Linked DNA regions of Caenorhabditis elegans. The protein of the gene in region 3 interacts with the protein of the main gene of each other region in a biochemical or structural test. Each region holds a gene or a part of one and is shown on either strand. Other genes may lie near its edges.

What was found. The genes of interacting proteins can lie anywhere in the genome.
Region 1: the proteins of ung-1 (region 3) and eef-2 form a complex in vitro, tested with the Caenorhabditis elegans proteins (one large-scale study listed by BioGRID).
Region 2: the proteins of ung-1 (region 3) and cts-1 form a complex in vitro, tested with the Caenorhabditis elegans proteins (one large-scale study listed by BioGRID).

What each region holds. Positions count from the first base shown.
Region 1 is NC_003279.8:9,161,601-9,167,310, reverse strand, and holds eef-2 (Elongation factor 2), read right to left. Parts: upstream 3,735-5,710; 5' UTR 3,658-3,734; coding exon 3,655-3,657; intron 3,363-3,654; coding exon 3,148-3,362; intron 3,102-3,147; coding exon 2,747-3,101; intron 2,699-2,746; coding exon 2,522-2,698; intron 2,476-2,521; coding exon 972-2,475; intron 918-971; coding exon 613-917; 3' UTR 501-612; downstream 1-500. Other genes in the region: clsp-1 (Claspin), read left to right, coding at 4,050-4,145, 4,190-4,496, 4,542-4,604, 4,648-4,960, 5,066-5,248, 5,663-5,710. UniProt on the Caenorhabditis elegans protein: Catalyzes the GTP-dependent ribosomal translocation step during translation elongation.
Region 2 is NC_003281.10:10,214,271-10,218,233, forward strand, and holds cts-1 (putative citrate synthase, mitochondrial), read right to left. Parts: upstream 2,366-3,963; 5' UTR 2,348-2,365; coding exon 2,141-2,347; intron 2,096-2,140; coding exon 1,697-2,095; intron 1,636-1,696; coding exon 1,315-1,635; intron 1,266-1,314; coding exon 786-1,265; 3' UTR 501-785; downstream 1-500. Other genes in the region: best-18 (Bestrophin homolog 18), read left to right, coding at 293-476; rde-4 (DRBM domain-containing protein), read right to left, coding at 3,076-3,500, 3,549-3,669, 3,714-3,945.
Region 3 is NC_003281.10:11,970,935-11,975,988, forward strand, and holds ung-1 (Uracil-DNA glycosylase), read right to left. Parts: upstream 3,157-5,054; 5' UTR 3,156-3,156; coding exon 3,097-3,155; intron 3,052-3,096; coding exon 2,379-3,051; intron 806-2,378; coding exon 689-805; 3' UTR 533-688; downstream 1-532. Other genes in the region: Y56A3A.28 (C2H2-type domain-containing protein), read right to left, coding at 332-424; Y56A3A.30 (SP-RING-type domain-containing protein), read right to left, coding at 3,270-3,325, 4,698-5,054; Y56A3A.31 (SOSS complex subunit A homolog), read left to right, coding at 3,572-3,592. UniProt on the Caenorhabditis elegans protein: Excises uracil residues from the DNA which can arise as a result of misincorporation of dUMP residues by DNA polymerase or due to deamination of cytosine.

The DNA.
Region 1 (5,710 bases), on a different chromosome or scaffold from region 3:
AAGAAGAAAAACTTTCATGGGAGGAGTGCAGAACGAAGCAGGAGAGAAATCAGAGAAATGGGTCCGTTTTGATAGTTCGCAGTGAAATAAAACTGAGTGAAAATGAGCCGAAAATTGTTGGCGGCAACGGTGACAAGTGATAGAAAATGGTATTTTAACCGCCCGCGCGCCATGATTTTAGGTCAATAGTCTTACAAGAGCACGTGAATTTCATGTGAAAATGTTGCAGCGCAAAGAAAAATGTTCAGGCCGAAACAAATTCAATGGCCAAGATTGCACTCGCGTCAGAACAATGGCTTCCATGCACACTTCAAACCTACAAGACCGAGTTTCCAATCCTAGGGATCCATTTTTAAACTTTTTGTGTTTATGAAGCCATCGTTTTAGGGCGGTAATATATAAATATTTACAAGATCCAGTTAAATATACTATTTAGCTGCGACAAATACGAAGAGGGTACAAGATTGCTAAACATTCAAATATATTTCAACGTACCAAATAAATTTTTACGATTTATTCCAGAGGTGGATTAGCACAAAAATGATGAGAAAAAGTAACAAACAACCGTGTTTATTATAATAGAAAAATTAACAATAAACAATCTTGACAGAATTACATCTTGTCGAGATAGTTGTCAAGGGCTGGGACACCTTCCTTGAGCCCCTTTCTCTTTCTGGTGTCCAAAACGATCTGGTTTGGCTTGGTTCCGGCCTCAAGCGGGTCTCCTGGAAGCACCTGCCAATGGTCGAACACGCATTGTGGGAAGGCTTGTCCTCCGGTGTTGGAGCGGAGATCGGCGGTGAATCCGAAGGACTCGTTGACAGGCAAGTAAGCCTTGACGACGAACATTGGAGTTCCTGTGACCTGAGACTCCTCGAAAACGTGTCCTCTTCTTCTGTTCAACACTCCGTAGATACCTAAAATAAATAAGTAATATAAAAACGTATAAGTTTTGAAAATATGCAACATACCTCCAACGGCGGCTTCTGGGCATTGAATTTCGACCAAGTAGACTGGCTCGAGAAGACGTGGCTCGGCGGTAAGAACCGAAGCGTAGAACACACGACGGGCAGTTGGGATGATTTGACCACCTCCTCTGTGGATAGCGTCAGCGTGGAGGGTGACATCGTGAACGTTGAAGCGAACTCCGCGCATGTTTTCGTCGGAAAGAACTCCTTCGCGAGTGGCCCATTGGAATCCAGCGACAACGGAGTCCTTGATTTCATTGAGGTATTGCACTCCTTTGGTGACGTCCATCAAGAGATTTGGTCCAGTTCCGTCTGGTCCGAAGCACCAGATCTTACGGGCTTCAGTGACGTCGTATTCGTACTTCTCGGCGAGGATCTTGGCACGAGCCTTGAACTCATCACGAGCGTTGACGGTTCCTCCTTCGATATCATCGGCGAGACCATCTGGCATTGGCTGAGCGGTACAGTGAAGACGATTGTGCTTATTTGGAGATTTGGACAAGCAGATCTGGTTAGACTCGGATTGAACAGTTTCACGGTAAGAGACGACCGGGTCAGACTTCTTGAGTGGAATGCAAGCGTGGTCCTCCTCCAAATCCTTCAGACAGATTTCCAAGTGAAGCTCTCCAGCTCCGGCGATGATGTGTTCTCCGGATTCTTCGAAGATACATTGGACCATAGGATCGGACTTGGCAAGACGTTTGAGTCCTTCGACGAGCTTTGGAAGATCAGCTGGGTTCTTAGCTTCGACGGCAACACGGACGACTGGAGATACGGAGAACTTCATGACACGCATGTTGTGGGCATCCTTGTAAGTGGTGATGGTTCCTCCCTTGACGAGGTATTGATCGACTCCAACAAGTCCAGCGATGTTTCCGGATGGAATATCCTCAATTGGCTCGATGAAACGTCCCATCATAAGAATGGTACGCTGAATGGTCTTCTCATAGAGATCTTCCTTCTTTCCTGGAACGTAGTTTGGTCCTTGAATGCGAGCCTTCATTCCAGTGGCGACCTTTCCGGAGAACACACGTCCGAAAGCGTAGAAACGTCCCTTATCGGAAGTTGGCACCATCTTGGAGATGTACATCATGAGTGGTCCATTTGGATCACAGGTCTTGATAGCAACGGCGGCCTCGTCGTCGTGTGGTCCTTCGTAGAGCATCTCCATTCTGTATTTTTGAGCAGTCACTGGGGATGGAAGATGGAAAGCGATCATCTGGAGCATAGTGTCTCCGGCTGGAAGCCACTTGCGCATGAAGACCTTCATGAGTGGTTTTCCTTCCAAATCCTTCTCGTCGTTGGCGAGCTTGATTCCGAGCTTCTCAACAAGAGCAGCGGTCTTGTCCTTCTTGATGTTCATGACGGCGTCGAAGACCATGAAGATTGGGTCAAGAACGAATTGGCAGAATCCACGCTTGCTCTCATCGGTCTGAGTACTGCTCCACTTCTTGGTCTTGAGATCGAAGAAACGATCTCCCCAGAGGTTCTTCATGAGCTTGTCAACCTGTAAAAATATTTTATATAATTTTAACATACAACAATCAATTTACTTGAACTCCGAACTTTCCGGCGTACATCTCAGCGAACTGCTTGAGGGTGAAGGCCCATCCGTGGAGTCCAGATCCGAATCCGACGTTTCCGATAGATGGATCAACCATGATTGGTCCCATCGGTCCATCGTCGTCTCCGTAAGTGGCAATGATGACGTTGATGTTTTCAACGATACGCTAAACGACAAATATATAACAATGTTACAGTTGAAACACAAAGCTTACTTGGAAGGTTTGGAAAAGTTCCTCGGCTCCGAGTTGAAGTTCGAGAAGGGCACGGTCCATCTTGTTCATGAAAAGAACTGGCTTGATACGCTCAGCAATAGCCTGACGCAGCACAGTCTCGGTTTGGACACACACTCCGGAAACACAATCGACGACGACGAGAGCTCCATCAGTAACACGAAGAGCAGCAGTAACTTCAGACGAGAAGTCAACGTGACCGGGTGAATCGATCAAATTGATCAAGAAACCGTTGTATTTCTCTTTCTTTCCATCAACCTCAACCGTCTCGAATTGGTTTTCTCCCTTGACGAACTCCAAATCCTTCTTCTCGAGCTCGAAGAAAAGAGAGATAGCACTAAAACAATATTATATTTAAGCTGAAATCCTAAAAATGAACTTACGTAGATTTGATGGTAATACAACGCTCCTGCTCATCCTTACGAGTGTCAGTGAAACGAGTCTCTCCAGCCTTGGATCCGGCAATAATACCGGCTTTGGAAACGAGTGAATCGGTAAGGGTAGATTTTCCGTGATCGACGTGAGCAATAACAGACATGTTACGAATGTTACGCTTGCGATCCATAAGCGCACGGATCTCATCGACCGTGAAGTTGACCTGAAGAGGAAAAAATAATTATTTCAATCGATAAAAATTATGAAATTTTACCTAACGAAATTTTTTCTGAAAATCCATAATTTAATTCAGATTTTGATAATACTGAATGGTTCTCAGTTGAAATTTAATTTAATTAACATATCCGGGAACGAAATCTCAGTAGGCCCAAAATTTGCTAATTTCATTTAATTATTTTGAAACTTTACGTTTTTGTCCTAAATTTTTTTCGAAAATAATAGACGACAATTCATCAGAACGTACAGTTACAATAATTAGAGGGATAAATACTCACCATTTTTAGTTTTTTGTAGGGTTCTCTTCAGATACAACAACAAAAAAGGACCGCACAGAGGATAGCGGCGTGACAAGAGTAAAGAAATTTGCGTTGTCAACTCCTCCAGCAAGATCTGTTAGATGTGCAGGCAAAGTACGGTAGAGCGCCAATTCAAACACTTGGCGCTCTGCCAACCAATTCATTTTCGCGCCTACTTTTGAATCTTAATGCCATTTTTTCCTTATTTTTCTACAAAAAATTGTCAAATCTGTTTAACTTTTTCTTAATAAAGTCAAAAAAGGGCCATTACATTTATCATAATGTTGTACTTTATAACTGACCGAAGAAAATCACGCTCTATAGACTGAAATTTTCCAAACTTCTTTTTAATATTGTTTTAGTTTAATTTCCAGATGAATTCTGATTCCTGTTCAACAAAAACCGTGTCAGCAGACGATACAGATTCTCCATCTTCTCTAGTTGCCGAACACACCATGTCCGATTCCCAGGTAATGGTTTTAAGACCGAAACTGGATCGAAATACATATTTCAGGAGCAGCTGATATCTAGTGAAAACACGGAAGTCGATAAGCAAGCTGAAGAAGACCGAAAACTTCGTCGTCTTAATCGTCGTAAAGCACTGGCTTTAGAACGAAGTCCTCTTCCTGTTCCGAAGCTTGGGAGAGTCCTATTATCTGCCAATAGTACGATTGACCTGACAAATGAAGATGATGACCCAAGTAACAAATGGTTCAAAAAGACGTTTAATGCTGAAAAAATTCCGAAATTGGCAAAAAGTCCGGAAGAAGCTAAATTATTCGCCGTTCCTCGAAAAATATCGAAGAACGCACCCAAGAGCCGTTAGTTTCGTTCGTAATAATTCTGATTTAACTTACTTTTTCCAGTTCTGACCAGCGAGACTTTAAAAAAGAAGCTTCAAGCTTCGATGTCAGCGAAGCGACGGAAAGGTATCGGCTTCGTGTTAAATTTTTACAATTTTTGAGTTTTCAGAACAAGAGCAACGTCGGAAAATGTATGAAGAGGATAATGAACATCTGAAGGCTGGCAGTGATGAAGAAGAGGAAGAAGATGTCGTTTTTAAAAAAAAGAAGGGAAAGAAACCTGTGAATGAAGAAGAATATAAAAGCGAAGATGATGAAGACTATGAACCTGAAAATAGCGGAGAAGAAGATTCAGATGAGAAGAATAATGGCCGAGCCGACGATGAAATGAGTGTGAACTTGTTGAATGACTCGTTTACTTACGATGTTTTCAATAATGTGAAGAGATCAGGACCTGGATCAACTGTTTCAAATTTCGACTCGTTAGTGTTTCATCTAAATTTATTTTCTGCGGTTTTTGTGTAACATATGTGTCAGATCTTTCAAAGAAATCTCTGATTGATAGAGTTTTTATAAATAAAATTTAGGCGTTCCGAAGCAGATGTTGTTGAAAAAAATGGAGTAGTTCAACTGCCGACAATGACGGAAATTACTGGCGGATCCAACGATATTCTCAATTTGTGCCCTGGAAGTTTTGGAGTTTCACAGTCTGCTGGTTTTCCAGACACTTTGCAAATGTTGATAGAAGAAGACACGACTGAAAGAAAAATGTATGTTTTAGAAAACTTAATCTCATTCCGGAAAATCTGAAATTGGAGCCCTTTTTCTTTTCCTTGAAACTATTCGCATTCTCAAAGAAAAAGTTTATCAAATCATTAAACAAAAGATAATTTGTTGTAAATCTTTTAAATAGAGAACTTGATAATTCTTTCTCATAAATTTAGAGAGGTTTTTTGGATCTCGTTCCTTTATCAAATCTTGATTATCGATAGAGCGCGCTTACAGCTCAACTGTGAAGAAATGAAATTTCGGTTGTTTTTTTTTGACTTTCTAATTTGTGGTTTTTTCTGCAAATCTTAAAAAAAAAATACAAGAAAAAATCGTCCACGATCGCTTATTCACTTTCGAAAACATTGTTCTGTGTTCCAAACGATTTAATTATATTAAATGAGATCTTTTTAAAGAAATCTGCCACAAAACTCGACGTCCGTGTCGTCAGACAAGCCCCGCTT
Region 2 (3,963 bases), 1.8 Mb from region 3:
ATTTCACAAGATTCTGGCATTTCTTCTTAAAGGCGCATAGTTCTTTTCAGATGGGTCTTGGCGCGCAAGTCAGGTTATTTCTAAAAAATATAATCTTTTTGTTTTCTTTTTAGAAAAATAATAAGAATAAAACAAAAATCGCTAAAAACAAAGTAATTTAATTGTAAAATGCGAGGAAAATAAATAAAGACTACCATAAACTTTTTTGCGCGCTGAGACCATCTGAATAATACCATGCGCCTTTAAGATAATAATATAGGATTAAACTTTTTCTAAACACGAATGAATCTAGAGGAAGTGGAATCGGTGATATTCTTCGACCATCTTCACTTCTCAACCTAATGAAACACGCTTCCTCGTCACGCAGTTTGGAGCGGCAGAGAAGTCCCGGAAGCTTCAGAATGGAAACTCTGACGCCTGGCTCGCCAACAAATACACCGATTGAACCCATTGATAAAATTGATAAGAAAAAATAGACATGTTCTCTTTTGGATGCTATCCGATTTGTAGTACTGTAAAATTAATTGTAATTAATTCAATAAAGAAATTTGAAGACTCGATTTATTTTCAATCAGAGCTCAGAACGCTTTGAAGAGAATCTCGGTACGGAGGGGAACAAATCAGCTTCATAAGCTGAAACATAATGATTCTAATTCTCTTATCCTGAGACTACTAACCTAGAAACAATCGATACTGAAGATTGGTGGGGAAAATGTATGGTATGGAAAAGGGGGAAACAATCAATTTATTACACTTTACAACAAAAAAGATCAAGGTGTGGGAACTTATTTCTTGGCGGCGAGAGCAAGCTTGATAAGTCCATCGGTGGAGTGTGACTTTGGACGTTCGAGTGGAAGTCCCATACCTCTGGCCCAGATCAATTGCGAGAGACATCCGAGAGCTCTAGAAACTCCGAAAAGAACAGTGTAGAAGGACATCTCGGTCATTCCAAAGTATTGAAGAAGGACACCGGAGTGGGAGTCCACGTTTGGCCATGGGTTCTTGGCTTTTCCTTGTTCGAGAAGAATTCCTGGAGTGATCTTGTAAAGAGTCGAGACCAGCTTGAAAAGATCATCGTTTGGCAAATGTTTAAGGGCGAATTCACGTTGGCACTCGTATCTTGGATCGGTTTTTCTAAGTACGGCATGTCCATATCCTGGTACAACTTGGCCGCTCTTCAAGTGCTTCCATACCCATTCCTTAAGTTGTTCCTCGGTGTAGTTAAAACCGATTTCTCCAACAATCTTGTTCAAGAAAACGAGAACCTGGAAAAAATTGTTTTTAATAAAATAAGAATAAATTAAAGTTTAGTACCTCTTGGTTAGCCAATCCGTGGAGTGGTCCAGCAAGTCCAGCCATGGCGGCGGAGAAGGAAAGGTATGGATCAGAAAGAGCAGATCCTACAAGATGGGAAGTGTGAGCGGATACATTTCCTCCTTCGTGATCAGAGTGAATAACAAGGTAGAGTCTCATAAGCTCAGCGAAAAGTGGATCATCATATCCAAGCATAGAAGAGAAGTTGGCGGACCAATCTTTCTTTGGATCGATGACACTGACTGCAGATCCATCACGGTACAGGTTGCGATAGATGATAGCGGCAACAGTTGGCAATTTAGCGAGAAGATCCATTGAGTCCTGAAAACTGTTTATGTCAGTCATCCGTTCAAAGAGACAGCTGTTGTTTTTTGATGTTTACCTCATAAGCGTACTCCCAGTAGGAGGCCTTGGCGACTCCACGAGCATAAGCTCCGGCGAATTTGCTTTCATTGTTCAAAGCAGCGATAGCGGCGATGAATTGAGCCATTGGATGGAGGTTATCTGGGAAGTTGTCGAGCATTCGGACAACGTGGGTTGGAAGATCGGCACGGGCGTTCCATTCTTTTGTGATAGCGGCAGTCTGGGCCTCGGATGGAACATCTCCTGTACACAAAAGCCACCAAATGGCTTCTGGAAGCGGCTCTTCTCCTCCCTTTGCTTTTGGAAGAAGCTTTTGGCATTCTGGGATAGAGTATCCACGGAATCTGATTCCCTCCTCTGGGTCAAGAACTGAGGTTTCGGTGACCATTCCCTTCATGCTTCTCATGCCTCCGTAGATCTTGAAAAAGAGACTATGAATTTAAACTTCCTAGTAGTTGCTTACCATGTCAATGTTCACATTTTGAACGACGGTGCTACCGTGCTCTGTGCGGAATGACTTCACTTTAGCGTTGTGGGCTGGGATCTTCTTGGAAAGAACCTCCTTCAAATTGGTGGATCCTTCAGCAGATGTTGAAAGTGGAGCGACTTGACACACAGGGATGACTCCCTTGGTGATAAGTCTGCGAATAGCCATTCCAGAGAGCGACATTTTCTGGTCGGATTAAACCTGGAAATCACGAAAATTTAAAATTGGAAAACTTGCATCGTCATATCAATGTGGCGGGTCACGCAATTAAAAAAAACAGATGAGATTTATCATTTGAGAACTTGAAAATGATGATAAATTTTATTGAAACATTTTAACTACGCTGTGAAGGTGAAACAATTTGCGACCGCGACCCACACTCGTTCAAAAATGAGGACGGGCGGCGCGCAGGCCGCACACTTTTTTCTTTTCTTCTCTAAATCTCGCTCTCGTGCACTGCAGAGAATGAGTGTGGAAAAGAGTTTTGTAGAGGTCAGAGGCATAGAGATTACGCATCTTCTATAGAATTCTATTGATGATTGATGGAACCACGTTGGGGAGAAAACGGACAAAGAACATCATTGGTATTTACTGTTTCTATAAGTGATGGAGGTAATGATAAAACACAGCCGCCCGTTGATGGAGTGAGAGCACATTGTCTTCATAGAAATAGAAACCATAACGCACAAAACTGTGACGTTTCGCACACAATCTTACCACGCGGCAGGCACACAAAGAACAATCACAGTAGAATTGACACGAGGAAAAGTAATGGAGGGAGAGAAAACACAAAGAACGACAAAAATATAATTTCGAGTAGTTTCAACTCTGAATGGCATTATTCAAAAAAATATTTAAAAAGGATATAATCATTCAGACGCTTCATTTTTCAGGAATACGCAATAATATTTTCAATCCGTGAAATCATAGGTGTTGAAATGGATAATCGCCGATTTACAAGCACACTGTTTAGCCTCTTCCGCCGATGAACCATGTCCAGCAAACACTAGCGGCCCGGAATCTGGCATATTCTTCTTCCGTAGCTTTTCCTTCTCGGCAGTAGCCTTCATAATTTCTTCAGTCTGGGTGTGTTCTGCTCCCATTTCCAAATCGTCGGGGTCTGGAGAAACTAGACGCCGGAACGAGATTTCCAATAGCACCTGATGTATTCCCATTGTGCTCACTGATAATACGTTGAAATCCATGCTGTAGTCTGAAAATCTTTTCTTGTCCGAGAGTATATCAATCAGTGCGGAATGCTTGTCTTTAATCTTGGATGCTTGATCCTGAATTTCGAGTAAATGTTCAGCTTCTTCCAAATTTTCAATCACATCAACTGAAAGCAGTAAAATTAAATATTAACTACAATTATTTGGAGGCATACCCATATCATATGATTCCAGAGATTCGATACCGTCTTCCAACGCTTTCCACATCAACCATGCTGCAAGATTCTTTGCGTCCTTCTTCTTACTTCTGATTCCTCTGGTTTTTTGATTGCACATCTGAAATTTTTTATTATTTTCGAGTTATTAATTAGCAGTTCTACCGTGCATATAACCAAGAAACGCTCGGTTCTCTCATTCTTGGAATCTTCATAGATTGGGGCTTGCAGCTTGCTTTTTTGAGATTTTTCCTGCAACTTTCCGACCCAATTCTCGGTTGGCGAAATACCAGGTGGAAATTCAGCACTTGTAGGAATCGAATCATCGTTATCGTTATCCTGAACAGCATCTGAAGTTGATCGTTTCAATTCCTCAGCCTTATCCGATATTTGATCACTGAAAACAATTGAAATA
Region 3 (5,054 bases):
TTTAATATAAATTTAAAAAAAAAACGGATTTTTTAATGTATTTTTAGAGAAAAATCTGATTTTTTAATGTATTTTTAGAGAAAAATCTGATTTTTTGATATTTTTACTGAAAAATCGGAATAATTTCAATTTTTAATATATTTTTAGAGAAAAATCGGAATTTTCTCGTTTTTTATAAGAAAAATTAGCATTTTTCAATGTTTTTAAATTTTTTTAAAGAAGAAATTGGAATTTTTTCGGTTTTTTAATATATTTTTTGGGAAAAATCGGTTTTTTTTTTTCAATTTTTAATATATTTTCTGCGATTTAATTAGAATATTATCTTCTCTACCTTATTCCGGAAATATTTTCTACATTCAAGGCATAAAAAATGCCGAGAAATTGAAGTCCAGCTCCGTTCCTCTTCGGTTTTTTGTCGCCGCATTCTTTTTTTCTGTTAAAAAAACAATTTTTCGCTGCAATTTCCGTGAAAAGCATTTAAAAATCGTTGAAACGAATGAAAAATTGGAAATTGAACAAAAAAATGGCCAGAAAATCGAATTTTTATGATGAAAAACCGAAAAAATGAGGAAAAAATGAGGAAAAATGAAGAGAAAATAGAAAAATCGATAAATAACAGAGTTCTTCAGTGAGTGGCGAGAGAGTGTGTGAGATGAAGAGACGCAGGGTGTTCGACAGGAGAATTTATTCATAAATCCGCCCAATTAATCGGGTTTCGACCGGAATTTTCGAGCTCCGTGTTGCATTTCGAGAAGCATTTGCATCCCCACCACTTGCGAGCACTCAGCGGAGACGGATGGGCGGTCTGGAAATTTTTTAAAATTTTTTAAAAAATTAAATTTGAGTTTAGTGGAAATATTTTTAAAATACGCTAAAAAATAGGTTTTTTTTTTCACAAAAATCAAAAATTTTGCGATTTTCCACGTCTGAAACCAATCAATTTTTCCCTTTGAAATTAATTTAAATTTTGGTGGAAAATGTCAAAAATTGCCAGAAAAACTTTAAAAAATTCAAGAATTTCCCACAAAATTGTAGTAAAATTGTCAATTTTCAGTTAAAAACCAAAAAAAAAAACAAGATTCTCCAGGTTTTGCTCCAAATTTGCTCCTTGTTTAAAATATCTATGTGAAAAATTGGAAAAAAAAGTCCCTTTTATTGTAGAAAATCGACGATTTTCAAACGCGCGCCAGACATTGAAGCGCGCTGTGTCTTGTGCCGATTTACGAGCCAGCTTTCAGCTTTTTATTCATTTTTATCGGTTTTTTTCGTTGAAAATTGTGTATTTTCGAGCCAATTGAACATTTTATGATCAGAAAACCGCGAAAATTTCCTATTTTTAGATGAAAAAGGAGGTAAATTCAGAGAAAATCGGAATTTTTTGAGTTTTTAAAGAGAAAATTGGAGTTTTTAAATAGAAATTTTCTCGAATTTTTTTTTCGATTAAAAAACAATTTCTGTTTTTCGATTTTTCTCTGAAAAAATAGAAAAAAAAAATTTTAATTTTCTCTTTTAAAAAATCGAAAAAATTCTAATTTTCTCCTTAAAAATTTCAAAAAAATTCCGATTTTCTCTTTTAAAAAATGGAAAAAATTCCGATTTTCTCTGGAAAACTATATGAAAAAATGGAAAAAATTCCGATTTTCTTTGAAAAAATCGAAAATATTCCGATTTTCTCTAAAAAATCAAAAAAAAAATCGAAAAAATTCCGATTTTCTTTGAAAAAAATTAAAAAAAACGAAAAAATTCCGATTTTCTCTGGAAAGAAATAGAAAAATTCCGGTTTTCTATTTAAAAAAAAAAAGAAGAAAAATTCCGATTTTCTTTGAAAAAATCGAAAAAATTCGGTTTTTTTTCTCTGAATTTAAATCATTTTCCATCTAAAAATAAGGAAATTTTGCGAGTTTTATAATAATAAAATGTTCAAAAAACCGAAAAAAAAAATGAAGAAACAGCAAAAAATTGGCTTTAAAAAAACAAATCTCGTAAATCGACACAACACGGTGCGTTCCAATGAGAATCGTCTCTGGCTCTCTGGCGCGCGTTTGAAAATCGTCGATTTTCTACAATAAAAGGGACGTTTTTTTCCAATTTTTCACATAGATATTCGGAATCAGGGGAAAATTTAGAGCAAACCCCTGAATTTTTTTTAGTTTTTAACTGAAAAGTGACAATTTTACTACCATTTTATGGGAAAATCTTGAATTTTTTTCTAGGTTTTCTGGCAATTTTTACCTAAATTTCCAGCAAAATCGCAAAATTTCCGATTTTACAGGTGAAAATCGGCAATTTTTGTCGTTTTCCAACACATTTTTAGGGAAAAAATCTTAAAATCAACTTTTCCATGCTTTTTCCAGAATTCTATCCAGAAAAATAATGACCTTTATAACTACATGTTTCTTTGTATCAATCAGTTCTTCCTTCTTATGAGCAAATCCTCCCCATAACAAAAAGACAATAGGCTTCTCCGATTGTCGCGAAATAATCCGAATAACAGTGTCCGTGAAAGTTTGCCAGCCGATCTTCGCGTGAGAATTCGCCTCGTGAGCCCGAACCGTCAACGTGGCATTCAACATGAACACTCCCTGACGTGTCCAGCCGAGCAGGTTCCCGTGATCGGGCCGCTTGAAGCCTTCAATATCGGATTCAAGCTCTTTATAGATATTTTTCAGCGATGGCGGCGGTTTTACACCCTTCTGAACACTGAAGGAGAGCCCGTGAGCTTGATTATCATCGTGATAGGGGTCTTGACCGATGATAACCACGCTGATCTCGTCGAATGGCAGAAGATTGAATGTTGTGAAAATTTGTGTGGGCGGTGGGAACACTTGCTTGCCCTTGTTCACTTCGGAATTCAAGAATTTCTCGATTTTCGAAATATAGCCTTTTTTGAATTCCTCCTCTAAAAGTTTCGACCAAGATTCACCGGTTAGCAGGGATTTTAGCAGAATTTCAGTTGGTTCTGGTGCTTGTAACTTCATTTTCTTGACTTCTTGATTTTCATTGCCCGCGGGAACTTTTTCCGGAATATTTTCAGTATTTGAAGCGGATTTTCTGAAATTTCGGTGGTTTTTTTTGAATTTTCAGAGCGGGAAATACCGTTTAGAGGCAGCGGATGCTTTGAGGAACATGTCCGGAATTCTTACAGTCTTCGACATTCTGAAATAAACGGAAATCTAGAAGAAAAAAAAAGAATTTTTATTCAAAAAACACGAGTGGAAATGAGATAAAATAAACCTGAGGGCATAGATAAGGATATTTGAAAAATTAAATCACAAAAATGGGAAATTATTCGAGTTATTTGCAGGCAAACCGGTGAATTCGTAACCTGAAAATGAAGAAAATCGATAAAAATCATTTAATTTCGCATTGACTACGGTAGGTAATTGTGTGCACTTTTGCGTGGCGGTGTATGCACAGAATTGATTTTTAAAAAAAATTAATTTTTTTTTAAATTTTAAAATTAATTTATTGAATTTTTCGACGATTTTCTTGAACTTTTCTCACACATTTTTGTGCAAAAACTCTTATTTTCAAACTTTCAGACTCAAAACGCACTGGAAAATCATTAGAAATGGCACCGAAGAAGAAAATGGTAATTTTTATGGCGAAAATTACTTGAAACAGACAAAAAAATCCGAATTATCGAAAAAAAGGACTCTCCCGCCGAAATGTCTCGTTTGAATGGGGTGGCGGCAGCTAGGCCGTGGTTGCACGCGGTCACGTCCAGATGGTCGATAATATTGGCGTTATTGGAGGAGTACGGGGGTTTTTAATGTATAATAATAAGAATAATAATTCAAAAAAAGTGCACTTTCGGACGCTGCAGCACGGAAAAGTGGCCAAAATTAGAGATTTTAGTTAAAATTAGCGCTTTTTTTTTCGAAATTTTGATTTTTTTTTTCACAATTTTCACAATTCCTTTAAAGGTGGGGTAGCGCTAGTGGGGAAATTGCTTTAAAACATGCCTATGGTACCACAATGACCGAATTTCATGATAAAAAATTCAAAAAAAAATTTATAAATTTTATATGATTTTTTGAAAATTGAAAAAATCACAGTTTTCCCCTAATTCCTATTTGAATTACCGCCAATTGAATTTGTTCGATGGGGCGCGCTTGCACGTTTTTAAATTTATTTATTTTATTTTTTGTTATTTTCCACCGATTTTTAATGTTTTCGGTGTATTTTTGCTCGAATTTTAGAGAAAAAATCAACATAAATGCAAATTTTCGATTAAAAAGCACGCTTACAGGCGTAAAAATGAAAAAGTAACGCTTTTAAACGATTTCGAACCTGAATTAATTAATTTCACTGATTTACGCCTGTAAGCGCACTTTTTAATCGAAAATTTGCATTTATTTTGACTTTTTCTCTAAAATTCGAGCAAAAATACACCGAAAACATTAAAAATCGGTGGAAAATAACAAAAAATAAAATAAATAAATTTAAAAACGTGCAAGCGCGCCCCATCGAACAAATTCAATTGGCGGTAATTCAAATAGGAATTAGGGGAAAACTGTGATTTTTCCAATTTTCAAAAAATCATATAAAATTTAGAAAAAATTTTTGAATTTTTTAATCATGATATTCGGTCATTGTGGTACCATAGGCGTATTTTAAAGCAATTTCCCCACAAAGCGTAGTCCACCTTTAAAATTTTTTGGCACATTTTTCTCAATTCCTTTTAAAAAATGTACCTTGATTCTGAAATCCAGGCTGCTGAGAAACCGTGTCAAACCCTCTGCCAACAAGATTATCCATGTATCCAGTGGTTCCACCGCCGTACCCATATCCATTGCCGAATCCATTGTTGTAGGTCCAACTACCAGGCTGATTTTGAAACTGGAACTGCTGGAAATTGTTGTTGGCTGCGAAGCTTTCTGTCGGAGGATTCGGCGTTGTTTCAAAAACGATATTCGGCTTCGGCTCAGGCTTCTTCCTCGGCGGCCTTTTTCTCTTCGGCTTCGGGATCGTCGCTGTTCCGTCAGCTACTACAGTTTCCACGTCATCTGCTTTCTTCCGTCTTGGCGTGGCTTTTTTCTTCGGTTGGGCTT